Linked DNA regions of Arabidopsis thaliana. The protein of the gene in region 1 interacts with the protein of each later gene in a pairwise test. Each region holds a gene or a part of one and is shown in the gene's direction. Other genes may lie near its edges.

Region 1 (10,837 bases):
GGTTAGAATTAACGAAGAAATGAAAATAACTAATAATATAGTGTTTTTGGAATTCACAATAAGAGAGTAGTTTATAATACATATTGAATGTGTGTATATTTATATGCATCAATCAGTGACATACATGTGCAGCTGTCTCTAGGATATGTAGAAGCTGTCGAGGTTTGACCAATCTTTCTATAATTTTTATCCCTCATCATGTAATACTCATTACCAGCGGCCACATGTTTTTCCTTTAAAATAATTACAAACAATATTCGTAAATATTTACACAAAATAATTGTTCAAATATTCTAACAGCGATAGCCAACACCCATGCATACATATCTGGAAAATGACTATGAAATTATTTGAAGTATTTAAATATGTTTATTGCATAGCTTTTGTGGAGAAAAATAATTTCACTTGGCAACAGTTGAATAGGAAATGTGTATTGATGTTGATTTTATTGCCTACGTAATACACAGTGTTTTTGATATGATATGTCCCTCGCGTTTAATAATTGCATCCGTATATGAAATAAAGAATTATATTCACTAATACTATATAATTTCATTAATGAGGTTTACCATAACAAACTAAAAAAAATAACTGTAAATTTATGCATGTTATTTATCACAAAAAAAAAAAAAAAAACCACCTGAAAATAACGAATTTGATATACTTTTCTACCAAATGTAATATTTGTAACCTATGGGATAGTTTTTCTTTTTTCTTTTTAAAGCGTTGACAATATGATCAACCATGATTAAATCGCATTAAAAAATTTAAACCATAATAACTTCGATTCAATCTACAGTATTTGACCAACATGGTTAGTTAACTTATGTTATTTGATCATACAATACAAACGATCATTTTGAGTCTCTACAGTAGCTGCCAAAGTTAAGAATTTGGTTGTTCTCTTAATCTGATCATATTATGTTTTAAATATTTTTTAGTTACCAGCCATAAGTTATATAGATAAATAATATCGTAGTAAAGATTCTAACTAATTGGGAATTTCGTTAAATTACGAGTTACAACTTTATGAATCCTCATGTACATGTGTGCTCGCCTGCTCGGTCTTAGCAAAAATTAATATGCGAAGCCAATTAAATGTACTGATGAGTCTGTTTGGGCTAGATTCATCCGTATCTGGGTTAATTATTGGATTGAGCAAATAAACAAATGTAAAACCAAGTTGTAAACACAGTAAACGTTAACCAGTTTTTTTTCTTTTTTTTTTTTTTTTTTTTTTTTTTTGCTGACTAGATCATGAATTCGGTTGTAGTATGCAAAATAGAAATGAAAAATGTGAATAATCAAGGGTAAAGTGAAATTTCTCCCCACAAGTTGTGTAACAACAACTATATCGATTAACGAGTCAAAAATTAAATTACCACATGAAAAATGTCAAAGTTAATTAGGAACTTTTTTTTCATTGAACCAATTAATTTTTGATGAAATTTATGGTTTATTAATCTGACACAACACTGTATAAAAGATTTTTTTTGTTAAAAGTTAAGAAAGAAGAATGTTGAGAGAACCATCAATGTTAAACCAATAGATGATAGTCAAGATTCATAGTATAAAAATTTACCACATTGGTTGAGAGATCAATTCCTTTCACCATAATGTCAATCATAATTAGCCGCTAGAAACGTTTTCTATGTCAAAAATACACAGCTTTTTCATATTGATTTTGGTTCAGAATTTCATGGTTTTATACCTTGTTTGATAACGTCATTAGAACATATGTACTTTTGTACTACTGAAACATTAAACTAGTGTGCAAAACAAGATTTTAAGATAGTCTAAATTCCAGTTAACAGAAAAATAAAAAATATTGTTGGTTGGGAAATAGTAGAACAAACGAGAGAGAGAGTGTGTGTGGTTACGATGAGGAGAAGAGACATAGAGGCATACACTCACTTAAAAGCAAAACCATTTTGGCTAAACCGAAAGACTCGGTCGGAGTCTAGAGCCTGTCTCTCCCGACATCCTCTGCCACACCTCACGTGCATGCTGCACCCACACTCACGTGCACATACATTTTTCTTGTGTTTTAGTTATTTTAGTAAAAACGATATATTTATTGACTCTTTCTGTAATGGTGGTAGAAATTGAGGAATTCACAAAAGTCCCAAGTTTTTGTTATATATGGTGCATGCGTATGTATTTGAGGAAACTTTTGCAGGATGCGTGGATCAAATCCAATTATAATTTAATTTTATATAGATATAAAAGTCAATAGTGGGAGGTGAAAAAAATATCAACAATGATTGAGTGTTACTACTACTAGAATGGTTAATTCGTTTTGATGAGGAGTGATTTCTAAACACATCAATTGTTGTACGTACATATACTCTCCACGCGCAGCAAATATTGACCCAAAAAGGCATAAAAAACACTAAAGCATGCCAACTTTTTATTCTTGTTGAGATTTACTTTGTCGTCCCATATCTTTTCAAATTTTGATCCTCTATAATATATGTTTAAACCTAACTTATCAAACTTTACATTCCTTTTTCTTTTGCTCACTAGGTAAGGCTCTTGAGATCGCTTCACCTCATCTCTTGTTTAACATTTATAAACATGTAGCTGTCTGGTTAATCAATTTACATGTGGTAAATTATAAATTACTCTAGAAAGAGATGTATATTAAACTGCTAAGTTCATGGCTAATCTTCGGTATTTCTTGTTTAACCGCGATAAGTTGAACATATATTAATGAGCTCTTATGGTTTTTGTTTAATGTCCATTTGGAGGTGTGATCATCTCATATGTTCTCACCAAAAGATTACCACTTGAATTCTTTTACATGTGAAATGTTTTAATTTATTAACCCTCTTCTGTTTTGATCAAAACATAAACTATATATTTGAATCTTTTATATATAATTCATATTAATTAAATAACATCATGTTTTCAATGAATGTATTGACATGATATCAATGAAGAATATTTACTTTGGAAAGAGTCAGAGTTGTTCTCGAAAGATATTTAAATGTTCCAAATTATTTCCGTTTGTCTAAACATAGAAAATCCCTAATTACATATAAATCAACAAAAAGGTAATAATTAGGTCAAAACCTCCCCCACTAAATACATGTATACTGAGATTCAGAAATACAATACTATTATAGTATATGTTAATTGAAAGCAAAATTCATAAGAAAGATCGGCGTTGAAAGGAAAAAGGCTCTACAACTACATTTTATATGCATACGTAGAGAGCTGAAAGTAAGGAACAACTCTACTCCGGTCCAGATTAATTGTAAAGAACTTTATACATTAATTAAAACAAAAACGAACACTTTATACTATTGATTAAAAAAAGAAGAAGATGAATAAAATAATTGCCTGAAAAATTAATAATTACACATGAAGGCTTAGCTTTAATTGGAGTATAATGATGTCCGTAGCTCTGTAAACATGTGAAGTTCTCCTCCTTTTGCGGCTAGTGGGTGCTCCATTGCGTATCAAAAGGAATATTATTCTAATCATAATTAAGTCATTAAATTACTAGTAGTGTTTTTTTTTTTCTCGCATTATACGGACATGTCTCAATTTGGACCAATCCATATAAATGAATAAACTTATTAGCTACTACTATATTATAACAGAAAATATGTATATAAAAGAAAAAAAGTGGGACATCTTTTCTGGTAACCAAGAGTTTACAACTTTGGATTAGAAAATATTTAAGTCCCCATTTGGCTTGCAATTTTCGGTCCGCCGAACCTAATCCTTAGGTTTTTCTCAATATATCCGGGTTTATGGTATAACCTCATTCATAAGAAAATCCGTATTACTAAAGTAAAAAATTAAAAATATGGTTATAAAAACGAGGGAAAGTTAACAGATTTTAAAACCATGGACTGTTTTTCCAACAACAGTAAATTATAATCGGAAAAGATAAAAATAAAAAGAAATAAAAAAGGTGGGACCGACAAGAAGAAGACATCAAGTGGGGTGCCACGTCAGAAGGCATAAGAAAAGATTTCATCTTTCCGCATGTATCCGATCCCAATCGGCTTAAATCTCAATATCGATTATTGTTTTTATTTTTTTGAAAAAACACTTGAGAATCTGCAGAAACACGAGAAAAAAAAGAAAAGTTTCAAAGCTTTTTAAGAGCTTAAAAATTTGCTTTGAAGCTTCAAATATTCTTATGAACTAAAAAGAAGAAAAAAGCTTTTGTTTCTTTTTCCTTAGCAGCAGAATGATTTTTGTTTCCAAAATTATTACTATTTAGTTTCTCTCGTGCTCTTCTCTTGAGCAAATACAGATTCGTTAATTTTGCTGAAGAAGAAGAACTCTGTTTCTTCCCTGCACCAAACCAATTTTTTCGTTCTTTCTATAAACCATGAAAGCTCCATCAAATGGATTTCTTCCAAGTTCCAACGAAGGTACACAAGCTTTATATTTATCTTCTTCTTTTCCAGATTTTATACTATTCAATTTCTTCATCAAGGAGTTTCTGCATTTCATGTTTGTGATTTTCTCATTGAAAAAATGAATTTTGTTATTCAATTTCAACTTTGGAGTCAGCACAAAGTCACAAATCGAGTTCTTCTATCACTTTATTTAATAAAGTGGTTGAAACATAAATGCCGCTCATAAAATTTCCAGACTTTAAATGAAACTATGCAAAAATTCTATCACTTTTAACAGATTTGAATATGTGTGTGATGATGATGAACAGGAGAGAAGAAGCCAATCAATTCTCAACTATGGCACGCTTGTGCAGGGCCTTTAGTTTCATTACCTCCTGTGGGAAGTCTTGTGGTTTACTTCCCTCAAGGACACAGCGAGCAAGTAAGTTCATTGCGTTTCAAACTATTTTGAAACCTTTGGTAGCAATCTAAGTAATATGTTCAATGAAACCTTTTTTCAGGTTGCAGCATCGATGCAGAAGCAAACAGATTTTATACCAAATTACCCAAATCTTCCTTCTAAGCTGATTTGCTTGCTTCACAGTGTTACATTACATGTAAGTCTCTTCTGACTCCAACTTGTGAATCAACAAGAAGATGAACTAATCAGGACTTTTGTGAAATTCTGAATCAGGCTGATACCGAAACAGATGAAGTCTATGCACAAATGACTCTTCAACCTGTGAATAAGGTCTGAATTATATCATTCTTCTTGTGCTATCTTGGTTTAAAGTTGAGGACTTTAATGCTGATCTTTGCTCAAAATGTGTGACAGTATGATAGAGAAGCATTGCTAGCTTCTGATATGGGCTTGAAGCTAAACAGACAACCTACTGAGTTTTTTTGCAAGACTCTTACTGCAAGTGACACAAGCACTCATGGTGGATTCTCTGTACCGCGTCGTGCAGCTGAGAAAATATTCCCTCCTCTTGTATGTCTCTCTGATCAAAGCTACTCTCAGTTTCTTTTGCTTCAAACTTTTGAATCTGTTTTGCTAAAAGTTCTAAGGGTGCTTAAAATAGGATTTCTCGATGCAACCGCCTGCGCAAGAGATTGTAGCTAAAGATTTACATGATACTACATGGACTTTCAGACATATCTATCGAGGTTTGAATCATCTAAAGTTTGTTTTATTAGTCTAAAAGATTGAAAACTTCAACCTGATTTGTTTTCTTTGATGTAATCTGATCTCAGGCCAACCAAAAAGACACTTGCTTACCACAGGTTGGAGCGTTTTTGTTAGCACAAAGAGACTATTTGCGGGTGATTCAGTTTTGTTTGTAAGGTATGAGTCATACTTTGATCAAAACATTAAGCAGAATTGGACTTTCATCTTCTCATAAGGGTACTTGGGTTTGCAGAGATGAGAAATCACAGCTGATGTTGGGTATAAGACGTGCAAATAGACAAACTCCGACTCTTTCCTCATCGGTCATATCCAGCGACAGTATGCACATTGGGATACTTGCAGCTGCAGCTCATGCTAATGCCAATAGTAGCCCTTTTACCATCTTCTTCAATCCAAGGGCAAGTCCTTCAGAGTTTGTAGTTCCTTTAGCCAAATACAACAAAGCCTTATACGCTCAAGTATCTCTAGGAATGAGATTCCGGATGATGTTTGAGACTGAGGATTGTGGGGTTCGTAGATATATGGGTACAGTCACAGGTATTAGTGATCTTGACCCTGTAAGATGGAAAGGCTCACAATGGCGTAATCTTCAGGTAATGACATATCCGAGTTATGCTAAACTGTTTATGATGGTCATTTCTTCTGAATCTTTTGTTCATGGTTTAAACAGGTAGGATGGGATGAATCAACAGCTGGAGATAGGCCAAGCCGAGTATCCATATGGGAAATCGAACCCGTCATAACTCCTTTTTACATATGTCCTCCTCCATTTTTCAGACCTAAGTACCCGAGGCAACCCGGGATGCCAGGTGAGTTTACTGCTTTCGTTCATTTTTTTCCCATAGATCTTTGACTGAGTTTCCGGATACTAACCTTGGTGGTTTGTTGCAGATGATGAGTTAGACATGGAAAATGCTTTCAAAAGAGCAATGCCTTGGATGGGAGAAGACTTTGGGATGAAGGACGCACAGAGTTCGATGTTCCCTGGTTTAAGTCTAGTTCAATGGATGAGTATGCAGCAAAACAATCCATTGTCAGGTTCTGCTACTCCTCAGCTCCCGTCCGCGCTCTCATCTTTTAACCTACCAAACAATTTTGCTTCCAACGACCCTTCCAAGCTGTTGAACTTCCAATCCCCAAACCTCTCTTCCGCAAATTCCCAATTCAACAAACCGAACACGGTTAACCATATCAGCCAACAGATGCAAGCACAACCAGCCATGGTGAAATCTCAACAACAACAACAACAACAACAACAACAACACCAACACCAACAACAACAACTGCAACAACAACAACAACTACAGATGTCACAGCAACAGGTGCAGCAACAAGGGATTTATAACAATGGTACGATTGCTGTTGCTAACCAAGTCTCTTGTCAAAGTCCAAACCAACCTACTGGATTCTCTCAGTCTCAGCTTCAGCAGCAGTCAATGCTCCCTACTGGTGCTAAAATGACACACCAGAACATAAATTCTATGGGGAATAAAGGCTTGTCTCAAATGACATCGTTTGCGCAAGAAATGCAGTTTCAGCAGCAACTGGAAATGCATAACAGTAGCCAGTTATTAAGAAACCAGCAAGAACAGTCCTCTCTCCATTCATTACAACAAAATCTGTCCCAAAATCCTCAGCAACTCCAAATGCAACAACAATCATCAAAACCAAGTCCTTCACAACAGCTTCAGTTGCAGCTACTGCAGAAGCTACAGCAGCAGCAACAGCAGCAGTCGATTCCTCCAGTAAGCTCATCCTTACAGCCACAATTATCAGCGTTGCAGCAGACACAAAGCCATCAATTGCAACAACTTCTGTCGTCTCAAAATCAACAGCCCTTGGCACATGGTAATAACAGCTTCCCAGCTTCAACTTTCATGCAGCCTCCACAGATTCAGGTGAGTCCTCAGCAGCAAGGACAGATGAGTAACAAAAATCTTGTAGCCGCTGGAAGATCACATTCTGGCCACACAGATGGAGAAGCTCCTTCTTGTTCAACCTCACCTTCCGCCAATAACACGGGACATGATAATGTTTCACCGACAAATTTCCTGAGCAGAAATCAACAGCAAGGACAAGCTGCATCTGTATCTGCATCTGATTCAGTCTTTGAGCGCGCAAGCAATCCGGTCCAAGAGCTTTATACAAAAACTGAGAGCCGGATCAGTCAAGGCATGATGAATATGAAGAGTGCTGGTGAACATTTCAGATTTAAAAGCGCGGTAACAGATCAAATCGATGTATCCACAGCGGGAACGACGTACTGTCCTGATGTTGTTGGCCCTGTACAGCAGCAACAAACTTTCCCACTACCATCATTTGGTTTTGATGGAGACTGCCAATCTCATCATCCAAGAAACAACTTAGCTTTCCCTGGTAATCTCGAAGCCGTAACTTCTGATCCACTCTATTCTCAAAAGGACTTTCAAAACTTGGTTCCCAACTATGGCAACACACCAAGAGACATTGAGACGGAGCTGTCCAGTGCTGCAATCAGTTCTCAGTCATTTGGTATTCCCAGCATTCCCTTTAAGCCCGGATGTTCAAATGAGGTTGGCGGCATCAATGATTCAGGAATCATGAATGGTGGAGGACTGTGGCCCAATCAGACTCAACGAATGCGAACATATACAAAGGTTAGAGATCTTTCTCTCCCTTTCCATAGCTCTAATCTTTTGCTTCTTAATTTTCGAATGCTAAATGCCGAAAGTTGTTAAATCATTGAAGGTTCAAAAACGAGGGTCAGTAGGTAGATCAATAGATGTTACCCGTTATAGCGGCTATGATGAACTTAGGCATGACTTAGCGAGAATGTTTGGCATCGAAGGACAGCTCGAAGATCCGCTAACCTCTGATTGGAAACTCGTCTACACCGATCACGAAAACGATATTTTACTAGTTGGTGATGATCCTTGGGAGTACGTTCCAGACCTGAAAAATCTATCTGTAACAGTCAAGATTGAACAATTCTGATAATTCTTGTCTGTTTGTTTTTTCCACAGAGAGTTTGTGAACTGCGTGCAGAACATAAAGATACTATCATCAGTAGAAGTTCAGCAAATGAGCTTAGACGGAGATCTTGCAGCTATCCCAACCACAAACCAAGCCTGCAGCGAAACAGACAGCGGAAATGCTTGGAAAGTACACTATGAAGACACTTCTGCTGCAGCTTCTTTCAACAGATAGAAATAAAAAGATGCAAATATACCAAGTCAACTTACATTATCATTCGAGGCCATCGCAAAGTACATGTTTTTTTTTGTGTGTATGTACTGCAAACAACAAACTGAGAAGAAGAAGATACTGCACGGTATATAAACATTTTTATAGGACAGTGATTTGATTTTTCATTCTAACTTGATGTTGTTGTACTTTCTTGTTTCCATATTTGTATAACAAGTATAATGCTTGACAAGTCTATGAGGAGCATATCTTATACAGAGATACTAAGATGTAATGTTAATGTAACTAAACAATTACCTTCATTAATCATGAATCTTTGGTCGTTTCTTCTTCTTCTCTTCAGTGCCTCCTAAGAATCAGGGATCATTTCAGATTCTTTTATACCAGTATCCTCTAGACGCAGCGAAATATTCAACATTTCAACGTTTGAAAACGAAAAGAGAGGAGTTAAAGAAAGAATCACGTGAAAAACAAGGACAAGGACAAGAAAACCAAACAGTCTCTGAGATTTCCCGTGTGAGTTGTGACCCACACACATTAAGACTCAAGCTTCTAGTAACATCCGCCACGTGTCCATTCCCCTGACACTTTGCGGCGTTTTAAGTACAAACGCGCTCCCTTTGACCTTTGAAGCTGACCTTCTTTCTTCTTCACGCGCCATAAAAAGTCAAAAACTCACTCTTCACTCTTTTATTTCACTCGTATAAATAAATTTCTGAAGCGCCAAATACAATTATCTCAATTCAAATCAACACTAACACTGAAGAACAGAGCTCACTGAAAAAACTTAACAGAACAAAATTAAACCGGAAAACAGAGAAATCATACCGGGTTGGTTCAATCGCGTCTTTGTTTGGTTTAATCGTGATGGAAGGGTCGTCTTCTTCGATGCAGTCAAAGTACAAAGGAGTGAGGAAGAGGAAATGGGGAAAATGGGTTTCAGAGATCAGACTTCCCAACAGCAGAGAACGTATTTGGTTGGGCTCTTACGATACTCCTGAGAAGGCGGCGCGTGCTTTCGACGCGGCTCTTTATTGTCTCCGTGGCAACAACGCAAAGTTCAATTTCCCTGATAATCCTCCGGTGATCTCCGGCGGACGTAACTTGTCGCGATCTGAGATAAGAGAAGCTGCTGCGAGGTTCGCTAATTCGGCGGAGGATGATTCAAGTGGCGGAGCAGGATACGAGATACGGCAAGAATCTGCTTCAACATCGATGGACGTTGATTCGGAGTTTTTGAGTATGCTTCCGACGGTTGGTTCGGGTAACTTCGCTTCGGAGTTTGGGTTATTCCCTGGGTTTGATGATTTCTCCGATGAATACTCCGGTGATCGTTTCAGAGAGCAGCTTTCGCCTACACAAGATTATTATCAGCTTGGAGAAGAGACTTACGCCGATGGTTCCATGTTTCTTTGGAATTTTTGAATTCCATTATTCACAATCTGAAAATTTTGACTTGGGTTTTTTATTTTTTTTTGTAGTTCTTTACCCAATTTTTTTTTGATCATTGGGATAAAGAGTTATTCATTCACTATTTTTTTCCCACGTGTTAGATTTTTCAGATGGGAAAAGGCCAAACTTAATAAAACAATTATATTTGGATCTTCTGACGTCATTTGATCATATTATCATGATATCATCCACTCCAATCGCTTTCACTAGGCCCAATTACAAATCTTATTTTAACTGTACGATTAAGCCCAACAATAATACTTCAGGCCCATTAAAATCAATAAGGGTATTGTCTTATTAAATTTCAATTACAATTTTTACTTTAAGTTGTACGATTAAGCCTAATAATAATATTTCAGGCCCATTCAAACAAAGGCAATAAGGGTATTTGTCTTATTAATTTTTATATATTTATTTTCTGATATATTTGACAACGACCTTATTAATGTTTTAAGGGTTTTCAATATAATCATTTCAATGAATATCTTTTAAGAAAAAAAAATATACAATTCAGTAATCAATTAAGCCAGTGAAATTCAAGGATTAATTGGAATTAAAAAAATTGAAACAAATAGTTTAAAATTGTTATGAAATTATGCTACTATAATTTATCTAAACCAAAACGAATATTCTTAGCCACTAACTATTAACT
Region 2 (6,990 bases), 5.6 Mb from region 1:
GCTATACCGCTCCACAAGCACCAACACCTGTGCCACAGGCCGCAGCTTATGGAGCGTATCCTGCTCAGGTAACCAAAATTCTTAATTAGTGTTAAACTCAGGAGTATTTAGGAGGATTACAGGGATTAGCCACCAGTTTGAATTGGGAATCACTCTTGGAGATAAGTCTTTGATCATCTAACTTGGATCTTATCTTTGTGAAATTTTTTGCAGACATACCCAACGCAGAGTTATGCACCTCCAGTTGCAGCAGCAGCACCAGCGGCTGCACCGGTGCAGCAACCGGCTGCTGCTGTTGCTCCTCAAGCGTACTACAACACGTACTACTGAGCCTATTACTGCTGCTGGTCGTTTTTGTAGTGTAATTGATAACCATTTGCTTCTATCTACTCAAATTTAGTGTCTGGATGTTTACATGTCTCTCTTTTCTCGATCAGTGACAATAGATATTTACTTTTCTTCAGTTTGTTTGATTCGTAAAAGTTCTTGGATTTACGCCGGTTATGATACAGATTGTAACCAGAGAAGTTGAATTGATGGAGCCGGGTAGTACTGTTTCAATGATCTAACTCAGTTAAACTCCTCAGAAGAAAAAAAGGAAAAGTAACGACGCTTAGAGAACTTAATTTTCCAAAAAGAAAAGAATAGACCTCGAATTCTTACTTAATGGGAAAAATATACAATTTTAAAACTTATGGGGTAAATATGCGAGGATTTTTAGATATATTTTGAAACAAAACATATTTTGTGCGACTGTCCAAGTTTTTCGTGTTCATCATCATTTTCTTGTGGCGTTTCTTCAAAAACCAAAGTTACTTTTTCCCCAAGGTATTCGCTGATGTGTGGAATTGGATAAAACAGTTTCATGACTTTTTGGTTTTCTCAATAAGAGGAAAATCTTTAATTTATTGCCCGAAGGAAATGGTAAACAAGTGATGAGATGCTACAAAGCTGACATATTTCCACCTTCCTGATTAATTAGGGTTTCGCGCGATCAGATAAGAATGTTGGGTTACAAATGTCTCCACTGGAACAATCTTATAGATTTACCGCCATTAAAGGACCCTGAAACCTTCTCTCTTCCTTCTTCCATTCCCCATTGGCCTCCAGGTAACTCCAATTCCATTCAATTCCCGACTTCTCTTGTCAACGATTTCGAATTCAAAAATTCTATTTCAATTTTAGGTTTCTTAAGCCTTGACAAAAGAGAGATTTTTATTTCTCGATTTTCCTCAATTTCGTGAAATTCAATTGGGTTTTTCAATCAGATCTCTATATCCACTAATCTAATTCGAACAATGGTCAATCAAATCTTTTGCGTTTTCAAAGAGGATTCTTTAAAGATTGCGTTTTGAAGAAATTTTTCAGCTGGGTCTCTTAGATTTTGTCTCTCCATCCTTTGAAAACTGATCAGGTCAAGGCTTTGGCTCTGGAACAATCAATCTCGGCAAATTACAAGTCATCAAAATCACGGATTTTGAATTTATATGGAGATACAGATCCACAGAGAAGAAGAAGAACATTTCATTTTACAAACCAAAGGGATTGTTACCTAAAGACTTCCATTGCTTAGGTCACTACTGTCAGTCTGATTCTCATCCTTTGAGAGGTTATGTACTTGCGGCAAGAGATTTAGTGGATTCATTAGAACAGGTAGAGAAACCTGCATTAGTGGAACCTGTTGATTTTACTCTTGTCTGGAGCTCAAATGATTCAGCAGAAAATGAATGTAGTAGTAAGAGCGAATGCGGTTACTTCTGGTTACCGCAGCCTCCTGAAGGGTATAGATCGATCGGTTTTGTGGTTACAAAGACTTCCGTGAAACCTGAGTTGAATGAAGTTAGATGTGTTAGAGCTGATCTTACTGATATATGTGAACCCCACAATGTCATTGTCACTGCTGTTTCAGAATCTTTAGGTGTTCCTTTGTTTATATGGAGAACTCGGCCTTCAGACCGAGGAATGTGGGGCAAAGGTGTCTCTGCAGGTACTTTCTTCTGCAGAACTCGGCTTGTTGCTGCTAGAGAAGATCTTGGTATCGGTATTGCTTGTCTAAAGAATCTAGATTTGAGTTTACATGCGATGCCAAATGTTGATCAGATTCAAGCTTTGATTCAACACTATGGTCCTACACTAGTCTTCCATCCTGGTGAAACTTACTTACCTTCTTCTGTTTCGTGGTTCTTCAAAAATGGTGCAGTTCTCTGCGAAAAGGGAAATCCAATCGAGGAACCTATCGATGAAAATGGTTCGAATTTGCCTCAAGGAGGAAGCAATGACAAGCAGTTTTGGATTGATTTGCCGTGTGATGATCAACAAAGAGATTTCGTCAAGCGAGGAAACCTTGAAAGCTCGAAACTTTACATTCATATTAAGCCTGCTCTTGGAGGAACGTTCACGGATCTTGTCTTCTGGATCTTCTGTCCATTTAACGGACCAGCAACCTTAAAACTAGGACTCGTCGATATCTCATTGATCAGTATTGGCCAACACGTCTGCGATTGGGAACATTTCACTCTCCGAATCAGCAATTTCTCTGGTGAGCTTTACTCAATCTACTTGTCTCAACACAGTGGCGGCGAGTGGATCGAAGCATACGACCTTGAAATCATTCCCGGAAGCAACAAAGCCGTTGTTTACTCTTCAAAACATGGTCACGCAAGCTTTCCTAGGGCTGGGACTTACTTACAGGGATCGACAATGCTTGGGATTGGGATAAGAAATGACACTGCGCGTAGTGAACTCTTGGTAGATTCGAGCTCACGGTACGAGATCATTGCAGCGGAGTATCTCAGCGGAAACAGTGTGTTGGCAGAACCGCCGTGGTTGCAGTACATGAGAGAATGGGGACCAAAGGTTGTGTACGATTCAAGAGAGGAGATAGAGAGATTGGTGAATCGATTTCCGAGGACGGTTAGGGTTTCGCTTGCCACAGTGCTTAGAAAACTTCCGGTGGAATTATCCGGCGAGGAAGGTCCTACAGGACCAAAGGAGAAGAACAATTGGTATGGCGATGAAAGATGTTGAAATTCTCACTGTTGGGAAACAGATGTGGTGAGATTACCATCGGAGCCCTAACTGTGTAACTTGTAAAGGAAGATGAAGCTTTGATTGCGCAAGAGATTAATTACACAATTAGCGTAGGATTAACGTAAAACTTGTCGTTAGAAGTGTATACAAGTGGGTCCCATCATGTATTTAATTAAAATAATAAAGTTATATAGACGAACAAACCTCCACCAAACGCAACGCACACATTCGTGTACCGTTTCCGATTTTTCGTTCCTCCAATTTCATTCTCTCTCTCTTTAAGAAAAATTCCTTGTTTTTGATCCGAGAATCGAAGTCGCCCTCGAATCAAGATTAAAACCTCGTTTAGTTCTCAATTTCAGTTCTGTGGATCCGTGCGTGACCTCAAGTTTTTTTTTTTTTTCTGTCTCGAAATTCAGAATCGTAGAGGTGTTGAAAGTTGAAACCTTTTTTTTGGTTTGCTTGGTTAATGGGTTTCTTCAAACTTGATCGATAATTGGATTTGAATCAAGGGTTTTAGTGTTCTTGCTTTGTGTATTCGTTTGGCAATTTGGGATAATGAATGGTTTGCAAGAAGTTTGTTCGTCAAGTGGGTCGGTGATGATCGGACTACCAGCTGAAGAAGACGAAAACGCCGCACATTCGTCGGAGGATTCATCTTGCCCCGACGAGTCAGTGTCAGAGACAGAGCTCGACCTAGCTTTGGGTCTTAGCATTGGTCGTCGGAAGGTTCGATCGTCTTTGTCTTCCTCGTCTTCTTCTCTGACCAGGGAAAGTGGGACCAAACGCTCTGCTGATTCTTCTCCGGCTGCCGCCTCAAACGCAACCAGGTAAAAAATTCATCTTCGAGACTTTATATTATAACCTATATGAATGATTGGTCTCAGATTGCTTATTGTTACAGAATCAAAGCAACTTAGAGGATAGAGCTTTTAGACCTTAAACTTTGAGAATGAATGAATCACAGGATTGAATCAAATAGAGTGTTCCCTGAAATGTTTAGTTAAACTTTTGAATCATATTGGTTTATACTTGTTCGTCTTTTGATTTAATATCTTTTGGTAATGGAGCAGACAAGTTGCTGTAGGTTGGCCGCCTCTACGGACTTACAGAATCAACAGTTTGGTCAATCAAGCAAAGTCTTTAGCTACGGAAGGCGGCTTGAGTTCTGGCATTCAAAAGGAGACTACAAAAAGTGTAGTGGTTGCTGCTAAGAACGATGATGCTTGCTTTATCAAATCGTCCAGGACTTCTATGCTTGTGAAGGTGACAATGGACGGAGTTATAATTGGAAGGAAGGTTGATCTCAATGCTCTGGATTCTTATGCAGCCTTAGAGAAAACTTTGGATCTAATGTTTTTCCAGATTCCTTCTCCTGTAACAAGTCAGTTACTAATTCTGTTTCATGAGATTCCATGTGATTCTGTTTTTCAAATTCTGTGTCTCTTGAAATTGACTGGTTTTGATTGATCGATTTGTAGGATCCAACACACAAGGATACAAGACAATTAAGGAAACATGTACTTCGAAATTACTGGATGGCTCATCGGAATATATCATAACATATCAAGATAAAGACGGAGATTGGATGCTTGTAGGAGATGTTCCTTGGCAGTAAGTGACTACCCTTATAACTTCCCATTCATCATCTGTATTTGTAATGTGGCACATCCATTTCAATGAAAACGATCTTTTCATCTTCTCAGGATGTTCCTCGGGTCTGTGACAAGACTGAGAATCATGAAGACATCAATTGGAGCTGGAGTAGGTAAGTAGAGAGTCCTATATAGCAAAAACAGTTTACATCTCTTTGGTCTGTAACTCATATATCACATTCACATATATACATGTGCATATGTTTATACATGAGTGTACATATGTCTTGTGGTCGTTTGTGAATATCAAACAACAGCTTAACCTTGTCTTTAAAGATCTTTGTATATTTAGGGTTTTTCACTCTATTGGTGCCTGATCCAATATACCACTATAACAACAAAGGCATGCATCTGGATTAGGGTTTAGTGATGAAATCAAGCTACAGTAATATGATAGAATCACCAGTAGTTTCATTCCCTGGAAAATGAAATACAGCTCTTGTGCGTACAATAACAACAATCAATCAGCTTCACGAGGTTTTCTTAGCATAAAAACCTAATAAACCTAACACAGTCTTGAAACAGAATGAAAAACGTTTTCCTTCATTGGCTCAGTTAGTCTTCAAGGTTACAGAGATTGGACTTCTAACTCGCTGCATCAGATTATGAGAGTTGACCCAAGTCAACTGCCCTTGTGCAAAGCTAGCCACCTTCCCTCCTCTGTTTTTCTTCTTCAATACAAACCATACTCTATAGCTCAGCGTCTGATCCACGTGTTTGAACACAAGTCTCTTAGGATTGACAATAACTTTGATCCCCTCTGGAGCCTTGACATTCACTGAGTATATCGAGTTAGGACTCCCAACGTTAGTGACACGCCTTGTGATCATCTCCGTAGTCTTGCCACGTTTGAAAATCACGGCTATCGACGGGTAATTGAGACTAAAACCCGGGTTTTTCCGCAATATTCCATTGCAGCTCACGTTCTTATGAGTGATTGCTAAAATATCTGATCTTGTGAATCCAAGAGTGCAGAGGTAAGTTATGTAATCCACTGGTTGAATGTTGTAAACCAATCCCGGGTTTATCGCCTTTTGCGGATTCACATGCCCTGCTCCAATCGCAAACACACCGGCTGGTTTGTTACCATCCTTTATCGCTTTCCCTTGACGATCGTACAAATCCGCTGTTGTCATCAATGCGGATTTGATTGCAGCTGGAGACCAGTTCGGGTATGCAGACCGGATAAGAGCAGTGATTCCGCTAACATGTGGACAAGACATTGAAGTTCCTGACATTACAGTGAAGTTAACTCTTCTTGAATCATAAGGAAGTCCGGTTGGTCCTAGATTTTGAGGCCAAGCCGCAATGATATTGACTCCCGGAGCAATCATATCCGGTTTTAGTATCGAAGGATTGGCTAAACTCGGTCCTCGAGCTGAAAACTGAGCCACCTCCGGTGCTCGTGACCTCCCAATCACCGTACCACCAAAAATTATCCGCGCCTTTGGTTTCACCGTGGCATTAACATAAGCCTTCAGAAGGACTGACTCAGTGTAACCAATCAATGTAGCTGGTAAGAGATGAACGTCAATAGAATCTTCTTCTTGGTTGATCTCTGTATTGGCTAAGATCATTGCAACTCCTCCAGCTTCTTTAACCGCTTCTCCTTTCTCCGATCTTCCATTGACTCCGCGATCACAAATCACCATTTTGCCTCGGATTTCTTCTCTTGGAAGTGACCCTCTCAAACAGAACTCACTTCCTTTATCTCCTCCTGTGACGTAAATCACCTCAACCTCTCTCCCGGCATTCTTTATACCTTTTCCCGGATACAATGACTCTCCATAGAGAAGCTTTCCGTTGGCTAATCTGACCACAGCGGGAAATCTTCGATCAAGCGTGCCTGCGCCAATGGTTGAGACCCAAGGAGCTGTGTTTGCAACAGAGCTTTCGATTGGACCGTTGTTACCAGCTGCACAGATTACAGATATACCGCGTTCCATGGCTCGGAATGTTCCAATGGCGATTGTGTCATCATACAAAGGAATAGGGAAACCGCCAAGGGAAAGCGAAAGAACATCGACTTTATCTTGAATCGCTACATCTATAGCTGCTAGAATGTCAGAGCTGTAACAACCATTGAACCAACAGACTTTATAGACTGCAATGTGAGCTCCAGGAGCCATCCCACGAGCCACACCAGCTCCATTGCCAAGAACATTCGCCATCGAAACAGAGGATCCACCAACTGTTGAGGCGGTGTGAGTCCCGTGTCCCGTTGAATCTCTTGCGGAAATGTATTCACGAGGCATGTTTGGTGATTCCTCTGGTGAATTAGCGACACGGTGTCCTCTGATGAAGA
Region 3 (6,866 bases), on another chromosome or scaffold:
ATAAAGAGGCGCGAAAAAGGGGATTTGTGTCTTGCACTAAACGGGTAAACATCCGGGTGGTCCGCAAAGACCATTGAACAACGTGTCGTTTTAATATTAAGTACTTTTTGGTTTGATCCACCTTGTCGTTTTGTCCCCTTAAAACGACAGCCTTTTTCCTCCTTTCACAACCATTTTTTATTTACTTTCCAGTAATTTGTCACAGTATTTCTCCTCACATATTTGCTGACTGGTAAAATTTAGAACAGTGAAATGATTCTTCAGTTTTCAGTTTATTTTATTCAACTGTTGTCATTTCATCATTTTAGTGAAAAAAATAAAAATGAATTTTCATTCTACTGTTTTGCAAGTAATATGTTTTGTTTTTTCTTACAATTCTGATATACTATCTGACTGATGTAGACAATGTTTTGAGATAAGTTGATTTATATAAGAATGCAATAAATTTCCATTTTTAACAGTCGTATATCTAAATTTTTGTGTATAACTTCCTTAATTATGTCTTCGGATTTTTTTTAAAAAACTCGTTGATATATACTAACGGAAGCAATAAATTCTTTAATTGCTAAAGATTAATAAAGTTGTAACCTTTTTTTTGGGTCTTTTTCTTTAAAGATCGTTATGAAATGGGTATGGACCATGCTAGTATGCTACTAATTCAAAATAGTACATTGGCTATCTAAAGTTGGACTGTGTGAAATAGTTTATTCTACAATTTAAGACCTTTTTCAGGTAAGGAGAAATCACATATTAGAACTAAGATAATCTTAAATGTCTTCGAGTGATCATTTACTTTGTTATACAAAGACAATTTCCTTTTAATATCTACTGTAAAACATATTAATATATCGACAATATTGTTTAGTCTCAAAGTCTTTATGTTATGGTCCTAATAAAAACACTAATTTTTCTACATATTGATTTTAGTCTAGCATGTAGTATTTTTATCACTTTCTAAAAATCATGACTAGTCCTTAATCTTACTTTACAGAATACAATCCTCTTGCAAACTAATACTCTCATTATATATCTTTTCTTAGAATAGTTATATGTTACTGTTGGGATGTTTATAATATAAGATCAATCAAATCAAACAAATATGTATATTTATTTATATACATCTACAAGCGTGAAAATTCATTTGGAATGTCACATATGTTACAATTTTGGAACGTTTATACTTTATCAATATATATATATATTAATATATATTTACAAGCGTGAAGTCATCTCCATCATTTATCTTCAACCATTTGATTACAAGTTATGTATCATGAATCTGCTTTTGTCTTTTCCTTATGATTCCAAATGATATTAACCTTCAACTTGTTGCATGTTCACAAGAGACAAACACAATTCACGGTATATTTGATCAATTGTAATTCGTTACATACATAACTTTAATTCATTGAAATATACACGAACTAGATCAATTAAAAAATTCAGGACGTTGAAAAAGCTTTACAAAAGAAAAGAATGTATAACTTTTCCTTTACACGAATAGTAAATGAGAAAAACTCACATCTACAATTTTCGTTATCGTGTTAAATAGTATACAAATTTAAACCACTTTTTGAGCATTTAGACCTAAGTTTTATTTTCCGGAGATAAGCTGTTATTTTGCTCTGTTTACGTTTTCTTTTGCATCACTACTCTTATGCATATGTATATAAGTCCTCACTTTACTCATTAATAAATTTCTTATTTAAACTAAAAAATCATATACCGAAGTTACTATAAAACCTACGAATTCTCTCTAATTCATAAACATTTGTAAACAGCATTCATTAATACTATATGATAGATAATAAATAACTGTTCGTATAATCTACTTATTTTTCTTATTTCACCTTTACAGACAACCCCACAGCCCACTTGGGTATCGACTTTATAGTTAAAGCAATGTTCGTGCCTTTTGTCCTATAAAGGAACGACACAGGTAGCGCCTAAGAAAAAAATAAAAACTAACAAGTGAGTAAAAATGCAAAATAAGTAGAAGGGAAAAAGAAAAAACGAGTATAAAAATCACACGCAATTCTAGAACAAACGTAGATAACGTGAAAAACATAGAATCAACTATTTGATATTGACTAACTGTTAGTGTACTTGGAACTGTGAGAATAAGTCGCTTTGAAGTCTGAAGAGGTTCAGGTGTCCTGAGTTTCTAAATAAATAAAGAGAACAAACTTGTACTTGTTTTTTGGTTGTGAAATATTACTGTATCTTAATACTGTGAAATTTCAACATATTTCTTGAAACTAAGTTTGGTATTTCTAGCAAATCCATCAATAGAGTATGAAATTCAATGTTCTCATTTAGTCATGATTTTGATCAAAAGAGAATTTTCCACACATCAATTGCGATTGAAAAAGTTTTCAAAGGATCATCATAGCTCACATCAAGAAACATGATGATGAATAATCTCATCACCACTATTTATTTAATAATTCCTTATAATGAAAACCAATTTTGTTCTCACTTTATTTGGAACCCATCATAGTCTAGTCCTCCACGAAAAAAAGAAAAGAAAATAAATGAGCATATAGTGACCCAAAACTAAACCCAAATTCAACTTTTTTTCAAAACTGGTACTTAGCTATACGTTTTCACATATTTAACAGTTGTTACTATGAACATGATATAAAGCATAGCTAACCAGATAAGATCAAACGCAACGAATACAAAATAAACTCTAATATAGCAATCATCAAAACGAATACAAATTCTTGCAAAAATAGAAAAGAAAGTGTGATGCAAAAACAAAGCTTTCCACAAATACAAACACATAACACAAAAACAACAGTTTATATATTTAATATAGTTTAATAAGATATGTTTGTTTTGTTTATCATATTTTTTTATAAACACAGGAGAAAACAATAAGGTAAACGGGAGCACGACAAGTTTGATAATGTCGGGAAGAAAAGTTAAAAAGAATTTCTTTGTTAATAATAAAATTAGGGAATAAAAAAAGGGTAAAAGAGAAGAAGAAAGAATGGCATTGTTGTTGGTATGGCCACTACCAGACATATGGGTCCTACTCTTCTCATCACTCTCTCCACCACCTAATCCTCTCTCTCTTTCTTCTTCCTCAATTCTTGAAACTCTCTTTCAGATTTCAAGAAACCCTTAAAATCCTCTCTCTGTCTCTTTCTGTTTGTTTGTTTTCTTGTTTCCTTCTCTCTCTCTCTTTCTTTCTTTGTCTTCCTTTCCCAGGTTGTTTTTTTTTGCTCTCTCTGCCTTCTTGACTTTCAAAAGACTCTTTCTTTCTTTTGGATTGATTTTGGATTCTAGGGCTCTCTTTCTTTTAGTGGGTTTTTGTTGTTGTTGTTGTGGTCTCTCTGATGATTACTGAACTTGAGATGGGGAAAGGTGAGAGTGAGCTTGAGCTTGGTCTAGGGCTGAGTCTTGGCGGTGGAACGGCGGCCAAGATTGGTAAATCAGGTGGTGGTGGCGCGTGGGGAGAGCGTGGAAGGCTTTTGACGGCTAAGGATTTTCCTTCTGTTGGTTCTAAACGTGCTGCTGATTCTGCTTCTCATGCTGGTTCATCTCCTCCTCGTTCAAGGTTCGTCTTTTTCAAGCTTTTTGGTTTCAAAGAAAGATCTTTTAAGATGTTTAATTCCTTTTGTATGATGTGAAATTGCTATTCTCTGAACATAGTTCGTTTAGGAGTTTCTTAAAGATTCTTTAGTGTTTGGATGTATACTTGATCTGAGTTATGTCGGAAGAAATGCTCTGGTTTGGAATTAGGAATCTTGAATAGTTGAATCTGTTCTTGGTTTTGATTCATTTGGATAGATTACAAGTCCTGACTTGATGTTTGCTTTGTTTGTAGCAGTCAAGTTGTTGGATGGCCTCCTATAGGGTCACACAGGATGAACAGTTTGGTTAATAACCAAGCTACAAAGTCAGCAAGAGAAGAAGAAGAAGCTGGTAAGAAGAAAGTGAAAGATGATGAACCTAAAGATGTGACAAAGAAAGTGAATGGGAAAGTACAAGTTGGATTTATTAAGGTGAACATGGATGGAGTTGCTATAGGAAGAAAAGTGGATTTGAATGCTCATTCTTCTTACGAGAATTTGGCGCAAACATTGGAAGATATGTTCTTTCGCACTAATCCGGGTACTGTCGGGTTAACCAGTCAGTTCACTAAACCGTTGAGGCTTTTAGATGGATCGTCTGAGTTTGTACTTACTTATGAAGATAAGGAAGGAGATTGGATGCTTGTTGGTGATGTTCCATGGAGGTAATAGATCTAAAAACCTTGTTTATTTATCTCTTACACTTCCAATAAATGTTTCTGATGGTCTTTTTGTTGGAATTATCTTAGAATGTTCATCAACTCGGTGAAAAGGCTACGTGTGATGAAAACCTCTGAAGCTAATGGACTCGGTATGTAGATAATCTCATCTTGATTCCTGTTCTTGTTTCTCAAGATGACGCAATGAAAAATTTCTACTAAAACATGTTAATATATATGCAGCTGCACGAAATCAAGAACCAAACGAGAGACAGCGAAAGCAGCCGGTTTAGATCTCTTTTCGACGTTACGGTGTTACAGGTTTTATATTTTGGGGTTTTGCAAGTCTGAGATACTTCTGAAGCAAGCATAAGCTAGATTGATCTTATATCCAGTTTGTGTATTTTCTTGGTTCTTATAATGGTTTTTACTGGTTTTCTTTAGTTTTTTTTTTTGCTGTCTTTTAATTTTCGGTTGCGATTTCACTATATACTATGGATGGAAGAGAATGCTCTTTATATCTTTTACTACACTGTAAATATTTGAAGCTTATCTAATATCGTTTTTAAGGGTTTTTGTTGATGAGTCTACTCTAATGATCTTAGAACTATGCCAATATATCCACAAATAACTACTCAGATCAAATGGGGTTACGGAAACATAAGGCAAGAAAGCAAATAGATTACAAAACTCATAATGTATTTACAACTCAAAACGTTTCACACAGGTTAAACTTCTTATAATAGTGATTGTGAAAATCCTTAATACATACATATTCCTCTCACTGTTAGCTTTTGAGTAATGTAATTGAAGCAGTGACTACAATACTCTACTTTAAGCAAAAGAATAAGCAAGCAACCAACGTTTTCAAGTCATAAGCTTTTAAATTCCCTAGTGACATTTAGCCTTGAGTTTTACGGGACTCTCTGAGTTGTTGATCTCTGATACTCTGCCTCCAACATTGAAGAAGTTTTGAAACAGAATTGCATATTTTTCGGTTCTTGTGTTTTGTAAGATTCTCTAGCCTAACCATGAGCTTCCTTGTTTCCATAGCTCTTGCGCTGATGGGGAACTCCAAGAGCAAAGCGAGGGTATCTACGCACATTGATGTTTCTACTTCAGACGCGAGGATTCCCTTTGCGTTGGCAAAATCAGCAGATTTTTTGGCGATCTCGAACAGTTCCAACAAATCCTTGTCGTTCTTCTTCAAGACAGGACAACCTTTAGATGCGTTCACAGGTGGCCCATGTTCCCCGGATCTAGGGTTTTTAGAAAGTTTCATTGGTAAAGCTGATTTCTTCTTCACCTGAATAGTTCTCGCTGCAAAAGACTTGTAATCACCAGGCTTCTTCAAATTTTGTTTGGTCTTGCCGGTTTCATGATTAGCCGCCCTAGATCTCTGATCTTCTGTCTTGTTCAAGTTTGAGGATACTTGAACAACATCAGGCTTCTGTAGCGTTAGGCGAACCTTGTAGCAAGTACTATTATCCCTCACGCTCTTCATGGATACTTTTTCTGGAACATGATTCTGTTCATCAATTTGCTTAACTTCTCCGGTTTCATGAGCGTGCGAACTCTGATGTTCTCTCTTCTTCAACCCCGAACATACTTTAACAACATTATTTTTCTTCAGATTCAAGGTAAGAGCTTTGTTGTAAGTATAAGCGTCTTTTTCACTGGAAGAAAGAGTCTTCTTCATCGATGAGGAGTTGAACAAAACGTGAGATTCCATTCCTAATCTAACTAGGGTTTAACTCTATCAAATTTGGTTATCGAATTATGGAGATAGAGCGTAGAGAGTTTCAGGTATTATATAGATTGTAGAGAGTAGAGACCCAAACAAAAAAGGAAATTAAAGGAAGCTTTCTTCAGGCCCACGCAACGAAACAACGTCGGACTATACTAATTTCCTTTTTTCTTGTCGAGTACATCCAAGGGTAAATCTGTCAGACCAGATATTTCAACGTTAAAACAATCAGTGACCAATCAAGTAGTAAGTATTTTTAAAAATCCTCTCTTTTCGTTCTTTCTTAATCCGATCCTCTGTTTCGTAAGAAGAAACAGAGATTATAAAGAGCCACTAGATTAACCTAGATTAACCTAGATTAACGAAAAAACGGTTTGTTTCGGTTCCACGTAACAACGGTAACTTGGTAAGAAGCAAAAGCTAACACGAAGTAAAACAAGAGCTGGTCTGTTTCAACATAAATTTACATAAACCAAAATTACTTTCACAAAAAATATAGTAAAAACCCCTCAGTTTTTACAAAAGAGAAACACATTTACTTCACTTAAACAATTAAACAAAGAGAGATTGTTGTTTTCCTTATTTATTCACTACTGAGTAAACACTGATCAATTTGCAGAATAAAAGGCAAACATTTTAAGATTAAGGAATAAACAACTTCAAAAGCTTTTTATACCAAGAAATTACAGAATGTTTTGTTGATTTGCTATTACATTGTTTTTTTTTTATATATCAGCTTAAGCTCTAACATAAGGGGGAGAGAGAAACATACAAAAATTTCAGTACATTAATAACAGAACAAAAGTACAAACACATTTGACAAAGAGAAGTTTTTACCCCCAAAAAATGGATGCAGAACACTCACCGACCATGCCTCCC
Region 4 (6,388 bases), 1.3 Mb from region 1:
CCAGAAGTATTGAGTTGTAGTATCATCTAGAGCTGATGAGTCGAATGCTTTGGAAGAAAGAATCCATAAAAACACCACATACCAACCCACGAAGAAACCCGTCATAAAAAAGTCCATATCCTTGTTGATTCTGCAAACCAATAAAACCATTATATCTCAATCTAATGCATAAAAAGATAAAAGAAAACACAATTTATATATACCTTGTCTCTCTTAAGTATTCATCTGTAGATTCGGAGCCAACGCTTCGGTTATAAAGCCAAAAACGCCAACATAGGATAGGGAGAGTGGCAATACAGCCACATGTATAACCGATGATCCATATAGACAACATTGTTTGTGGATGTTCTTCATCTCTTGGCTCAATCAGAACGATTATGACCGCAGCAATCAAGACCAAAGTCACAACAAACTCGATTGAATTACAAATGCTTTCATTTGTGTATGGATCACCCAATTCAACACCCTCGTGTGGTTGCTGACCATCAATTGATGAAGAACTACCATCGCTTGTAATGTCAATGATGTGTTCACACTCGCTCAACAAAGGGCCCTCCATTGATCACTTTTGGTTTTTCCTATTTCTTGCCGATCAAATGAAAAGTTCATTCAAATTTGCGTTGACGAGCACAAAGCATATACCTTTCCTTCTTTGTTGATAAAATTATTAGTATTTTTTTAGACCAGATCAATACTAAGTACGTATTAGTCGTGTTACAAATAAAACATTATTTTGAAAAATGAAGATCAAAGCTGAGATTTCAATGTTTATATATATTGCAGATGTTTTGGACAAGTTAAATTGTTAATAGGTCAAATGATCTGTATGATATTTATTTTCTGTTTTAAGACAGACAACACAAGAAGACAGGATCGTATCTTTCAGTTTCCCACCACTTTTGTTTATTGAATGTGTACAATTACTCTTGAGCGAAAAAAAAATAAAAAAAAAATCAACCTCATCTCATCACCACCTAACTTGTGATTGACAGAGAGGGCATGTGGATTTGATTTTCAGCCATTTGTCTATACATTGCGAATGAAATACGTGTGAGCATTCAAGTTTCCTTAGTCCTACTCCTTTTTCCTCTCCATATTTCCCCAAGCATATGCAACAACTCTGCACACACCATCAAACCATGAAAATTAAACAACAACAACAACAAAAAAATGCTATTTAAAACAGAGTAATTAATGTGATATGAAATTATTACTCACATCATCATGGCTCGGTTTCTTGAAAACAAATCTACCTCCTATACCTTCCCTTACAGAATCTACATCATTTGATTTCAACTTATCCACATCATAGATATGAGAAAAAAATGTTCCAAACTCTAGTGAACATTAAGCGAAAAAAATACCTGCGCATAATAGTAATGCATATGCAAATCTAATGCAACTGAAAGCAATGAAGACTACACATAACCTGCCAAAACATAATCAAGAAGACAAAAGTTAGTACTGATTAGTTAGGGTTTAACTAAATCTCTACTGTGACATGATTGTGAGTCAAACCTGTAGAGCTTAGGAGTATCAGAAGAAGATGAGTGTCCATAACAAATCCATAGAATCCCCATAACTAACCACACAACAAAGAAACATTCATTCCCCATCTTCAAAGCATCCATTACCCTATCCGTTCTGCCACCAACAACGGTTCGGTTTGATTTAGCTAATTAAACTCTTAATGTTAAGTGAAACAAGTGTTGTTTATTATACCTCGTTTTTGAGTAAACACCAATTCGGTTGTATTTGCGGACACACGAGAGGAGAATAAGGAGCGTAATGGTAATACAGCCACAAGTGTAACCGATGACCCATGTTAACAAAAGTGCTTGTTGATGTTCATCTTTTGCCAGAGTTAAAACTATTAATGATGCAACAATCTGAACCAAAGTGACTACTAATTCCATTATATTCCAAAGACTACCACAGTCTCTCGTAGATGAACTTGCACCTTCATCTGACGATTCGTCATCCGTAGACAGAGACGAACTTAATGAAGGATAGCTTCTCTCGTCCAAAGACGATCTTGATGAAGAATCTTCATCGTTTGTAATGTCGATTATGTGATCATCATTATCACTGTGGGATTCGCTGTCCATTATCACAAAGTCTTGTTGTGTTATTCATTGGCTAAAGCCAGCCGACAATATATTATACGCAATTCTACATGATCAATCGAAAACTAGAAATTGTGTACAAGGAAATTTGACTAATCTAGCTTATCTATCAACATGTGAACATTCCAAAAATGTACTATTGGAGATACAAAGATATGGAAATATCTATGAAAAATGGAAATATATCCCGTAATTGATATTTTGATCAGTTCTGTTTCTATTTCGTAACAAATAATGACAAAAGTATGGTGTACATGTGTAGATTACGTATGATGTAATGAAAGTATCGGGCACATGTGTGAATAGCAGAAACAAGATATATGACGAAAACGTAGATGCATTTTTTTCTTTGAAATTATGTATGCACTGTGTAGTGTGTTACGTGTAGAAAAAAATGAAATAATATAATAACTTGTCTTAGCCTTGAGTAACACGTGTTCGGTTGTCGAGAAACATAAATATACGTAGATTTTAAAGTGCACTAATATATATTCGACCATGAATATGTTGTTTTATTATTATGTCGTTGATTAAAAGAATGGGATACAGACATAACAAATCACACATAACATGGGATGTCTAATAGAAAGTAACGTGTTTCTGATCCAACGGCTGAGAAAGAAACCCTACTTTGTCGGTAACAAAATCGTGGCCGTCCAGTGTGTCGAACCAACGGATCCATATTATCGACATTTAAACACGAAGCGGCAAAGGAATGAAAAAACATGACATAAAAATTTCGACAAGATCTTCGAATGGGGCCGACAAGATAAATCAATGCTAAACAAGCTTGTCTCAAACGCCATCGTTTATGTTCCCATGAGAACATATAAAGTGGCAACAGAATAAAGTTCAAACACATTAACACCAATACTTTCAATCAAAAACATCAAAGATGGCGAATGAGAGTAATAATCTTGGACTCGAAATCACCGAACTACGGCTAGGTCTTCCCGGAGATATCGTCGTCTCCGGTGAGTCCATCTCCGGGAAGAAGAGGGCTTCTCCGGAAGTAGAGATTGATTTGAAATGTGAACCGGCGAAAAAGAGTCAAGTTGTGGGTTGGCCACCGGTTTGTTCGTACCGGAGAAAGAACAGTCTCGAACGGACCAAAAGTTCGTACGTGAAAGTGAGTGTAGATGGAGCTGCATTTTTAAGGAAGATTGATTTGGAAATGTACAAATGTTACCAAGATCTTGCTTCCGCTCTGCAAATTCTGTTCGGATGCTATATCAATTTTGGTTAGTTTATGTTTCTATATATAGTATATATTTTTGGTTTTAGTCTTTACTTATCAAGGCAACTAATGATCCAAAACATCGATATTAACTTTATAATCTTTATATATGAAAATGAAGATGATACGTTGAAGGAAAGTGAATGTGTACCAATATATGAAGACAAAGATGGAGATTGGATGCTTGCTGGAGATGTTCCTTGGGAGTAAGTTTCTAGCGACCTCTATAACATTCAAATTTACTTTCTTTTATTTAATTGATATCTAATAAATTATGAAACTATTTGTGTGCAGAATGTTCCTTGGATCGTGCAAGAGGTTAAGGATTATGAAGAGATCATGTAACAGAGGATGAATGATATTTATAGTCACATGTGAATGTGAGTGAGCCTTACAGATATCTAAATATACATTTTTGCAGTTACTCAATATTTCTCTTCGGAAGTCTAAGATTTCCGAAATTTCTGTAGAAGTTGTTTTCTTTGACATAGTTCATTCATCTTTATCTTTTGGTCACTGGACTAAAGTCTAGAGGCGGTTCTTATAAGCTACTGCATGACAGTTCAATATCAACAATCAATGAAATTTGAAATATAAATACTTAAACCTACTTCATATCAGAAAACTGATATGAAAATTCCGAATCTGTTTACATTGCCTCAAGATGGGAGAAAAATGTACATTCTCGTTACAATAAAAAAAACTCTAGGTACCGATTAGATGTTCCCGGGTTTGGAAGAACCAAACCACGGATCAAACTAGGCTAAACCGAATTCTAATCAGGTATTAGATGAGTGGGACTGTGGAAATTCTGTTTTATGAACAAAGAGTAACAGATGAATGAAAACGAAATTGGACCATCAATGTGACAAAACTATTATCGGTTAGGAGTTGAAACCTTCAGAATAGCGTGTCAAGTAGCTTTGGAGACGTGAGAACCGCCACAGATTTGTACTGCAAATCCATAATAAGTCTTATGAGAATCAAGGAAACCAAACTAAAGTTATACCAAACAGGTTTTAGTATGTGGTTTTAACTGATAAGCTTACTTTCTCTTGCCTATACTTCATGCGTATAGCGCTCAAGGGGCAACCTTTGGTGTTAAGCTGCAGATCTTGTAAGGCATGAACAGATGCTTTCAGATCCGATGCTTTGTACGTTGTGTAATGCTCAAGTGTTGGATTCTGCCGGGGGAAAAATCAAAAAGATGTTAAAGATCAAAGATTTTGTGGAGCTAAACTGTGTCTGGATATACAAAAGAGAAGCAACATCACAGACCCATGGGTGGTTTGATTGGTCCATTGTCCACTTGGCGAGAAAAACCGCTGAAGCAGCAACAACGGAAGGAAGAAACTTTAAGAAATGGTAGTCTATTAATGTCAACTCTGTTAGATAGCTGGCTAGAAACTCGACTTCAAGGCTTGGGCTCTGCCGAATCAGCAATCAAATATGGACACATTCTCAGTCTTTCTACTAAACTTTGTAATTAGAAGAGATAGGGGAGCAAATTGCGAAATGCATACCAGGCGAGAGGCTTGAGCTGCTCTGAGAAATCTCCTAAGGAACGTTTTTGGAGTGGGAGTGTATATTTGAAAGCTAAAATGCTTAAGTACTTGGTTCTCCATTTCCAGGACCTGCACATCACGACTCCATTAGCACATTGCACACTTTCTTTTTTGAGGATTCAGACAGCAATCTCGGTATACCTGATCTCTTGTGTAGGTGTTATCCGTAATGAAGCAAAACTCCTCAATGCGTGGAGCAGAGATTTCCTCATACTTCCTGAAAAGTTTATAAACAAATGCAGTATAAGTTTAGTTTAGCTTTTGAGAAGAGATTTACTAGTGAGATTGGAGAGGAACATACGAGGCAATTAGCATGCAAGTGATGCCGAGCAGTTGAAGTTGCTGTCTTTGCACGTAGTTTCCATGGAGGAACCAGTCTATGAGATACACTGTGAGGTAGAGAGTGTCAGATGCAAGTGTGTATTCTTCAGAGACCTGTGATTGAAATCAGACTTTTGTGAGAACCCGGAAAAGGTCATAGTAGCTTCAAAAGTTAGCATCAAAAGTAGAACTAAACACTAACCTCCACAAGCCAATCAACCAGAATTCCCCGCATGGACTGGGTGACATCCTTCTGTATTCTCTCCATAAAGTCCGGAAGTGGTCTGCGTTTAAGCTGCCAGAAGAGAAGTGACACAGAAGCACAAGCAATAAAACTTTCAGTCCTTTGGCTCACCAAGTTTCTTTAGAGACTATCAAAGCCTAGGAATTACCTCTGAAACACGCAAATTGTAGTGGATTTCAGGGGCATAGAGGCAGCACAGTAAAGGATCCTTGTCATCTGAATCGATGTCTACAAATTTTGGGATATCCGGTACAGTTGAACTACCAATAACAGCACTTTTCTCAGCTGTAACCATTTGCAAAAAAGATTTATAAGTCATTAAAGACCACTCCTTTATACAATAGGAACTAATCATATGAAAACTTGTGTTAAATGGATCACCTGTAGAAGCTGATCTCCCAAGAGGTCTTGGAGGCAATCTAGAATTCCATATCTCAATACAGTTATCAGCTGTGTTATCTGTGCCTTTAGAAACAGAAAGGTTTCCTGCTGTATTTGATGCAACTTCAACTTTTGCATCGGTCCTGGACTGAAGATCTGTGACTTCTGAAGTAACAGAAGTTGCCAACTGGGATGTACTCGCCAATCCATGACCGCGTCCTTTCTTTATCTGCTTGCTGTTTTTGGCCTGAAATGGCAAAACCCATGTTTCAGTGATGCATGTTTTACTTCACAAGATCTTTACAAAAATTCACAGGAAACCAAACACTATAAAGAAACATAATATAGTTTTAACAACCTCAAGTATAGCTGTATTGGAGTTAACATTTGTGATCTCCCCTAGAACCGCTCGCTTCTTCCTCTTGTTGGGTCCAGTGGCTCTTGTATCCTCCAAGGCTGGTCTTTTTGTGTTTACTCTCTGTTGATTCTGTGTAGTAGAAGTCACTTCTGAAGC

The links.
Region 2: the proteins of ARF19 (region 1) and IAA10 interact in binary tests that used the Arabidopsis thaliana proteins (3 or more experiments, as listed by UniProt).
Region 3: the proteins of ARF19 (region 1) and IAA13 interact in binary tests that used the Arabidopsis thaliana proteins (3 or more experiments, as listed by UniProt).
Region 4: the proteins of ARF19 (region 1) and IAA5 interact in binary tests that used the Arabidopsis thaliana proteins (3 or more experiments, as listed by UniProt).

Annotation. Positions count from the first base shown.
Region 1 is NC_003070.9:6,626,294-6,637,130, reverse strand, and holds ARF19 (auxin response factor 19), read left to right. Parts: upstream 1-3,997; 5' UTR 3,998-4,351; coding exon 4,352-4,394; intron 4,395-4,690; coding exon 4,691-4,803; intron 4,804-4,882; coding exon 4,883-4,978; intron 4,979-5,055; coding exon 5,056-5,112; intron 5,113-5,196; coding exon 5,197-5,352; intron 5,353-5,443; coding exon 5,444-5,528; intron 5,529-5,615; coding exon 5,616-5,706; intron 5,707-5,782; coding exon 5,783-6,143; intron 6,144-6,220; coding exon 6,221-6,359; intron 6,360-6,441; coding exon 6,442-8,186; intron 8,187-8,277; coding exon 8,278-8,468; intron 8,469-8,552; coding exon 8,553-8,736; 3' UTR 8,737-9,448; downstream 9,449-10,837. Other genes in the region: AT1G19210 (Integrase-type DNA-binding superfamily protein), read left to right, coding at 9,601-10,158. UniProt on the Arabidopsis thaliana protein: Auxin response factors (ARFs) are transcriptional factors that bind specifically to the DNA sequence 5'-TGTCTC-3' found in the auxin-responsive promoter elements (AuxREs). Could act as transcriptional activator or repressor.
Region 2 is NC_003070.9:1,056,221-1,063,210, forward strand, and holds IAA10 (indoleacetic acid-induced protein 10), read left to right. Parts: upstream 1-3,249; 5' UTR 3,250-3,509; coding exon of another isoform or gene 3,510-3,588; coding exon 3,589-3,860; intron 3,861-4,062; coding exon of another isoform or gene 4,063-4,103; coding exon 4,104-4,414; intron 4,415-4,511; coding exon 4,512-4,644; intron 4,645-4,736; coding exon 4,737-4,806; 3' UTR 4,807-4,989; downstream 4,990-6,990. Other genes in the region: PRP39 (Tetratricopeptide repeat (TPR)-like superfamily protein), read left to right, coding at 1-68, 214-330; AT1G04090 (vacuolar sorting-associated protein (DUF946)), read left to right, coding at 1,005-1,110, 1,415-3,027; SDD1 (Subtilase family protein), read right to left, coding at 5,237-6,990. UniProt on the Arabidopsis thaliana protein: Aux/IAA proteins are short-lived transcriptional factors that function as repressors of early auxin response genes at low auxin concentrations.
Region 3 is NC_003071.7:14,112,236-14,119,101, reverse strand, and holds IAA13 (auxin-induced protein 13), read left to right. Parts: upstream 1-3,132; 5' UTR 3,133-3,344; coding exon 3,345-3,565; intron 3,566-3,835; coding exon 3,836-4,246; intron 4,247-4,330; coding exon 4,331-4,392; intron 4,393-4,483; coding exon 4,484-4,533; 3' UTR 4,534-4,821; downstream 4,822-6,866. Other genes in the region: AT2G33300 (Transcription elongation factor (TFIIS) family protein), read right to left, coding at 5,142-5,972. UniProt on the Arabidopsis thaliana protein: Aux/IAA proteins are short-lived transcriptional factors that function as repressors of early auxin response genes at low auxin concentrations.
Region 4 is NC_003070.9:5,363,094-5,369,481, reverse strand, and holds IAA5 (indole-3-acetic acid inducible 5), read left to right. Parts: upstream 1-2,984; 5' UTR 2,985-3,021; coding exon 3,022-3,367; intron 3,368-3,484; coding exon 3,485-3,569; intron 3,570-3,657; coding exon 3,658-3,718; 3' UTR 3,719-3,970; downstream 3,971-6,388. Other genes in the region: AT1G15600 (uncharacterized protein), read right to left, coding at 2-130, 204-559; AT1G15590 (E3 ubiquitin-protein ligase), read right to left, coding at 1,250-1,277, 1,519-1,644, 1,723-2,108; CYCA2;3 (CYCLIN A2;3), read right to left, coding at 4,264-4,317, 4,413-4,547, 4,642-4,791, 4,887-4,997, 5,070-5,145, 5,230-5,363, 5,452-5,544, 5,642-5,778 and 2 more. UniProt on the Arabidopsis thaliana protein: Aux/IAA proteins are short-lived transcriptional factors that function as repressors of early auxin response genes at low auxin concentrations.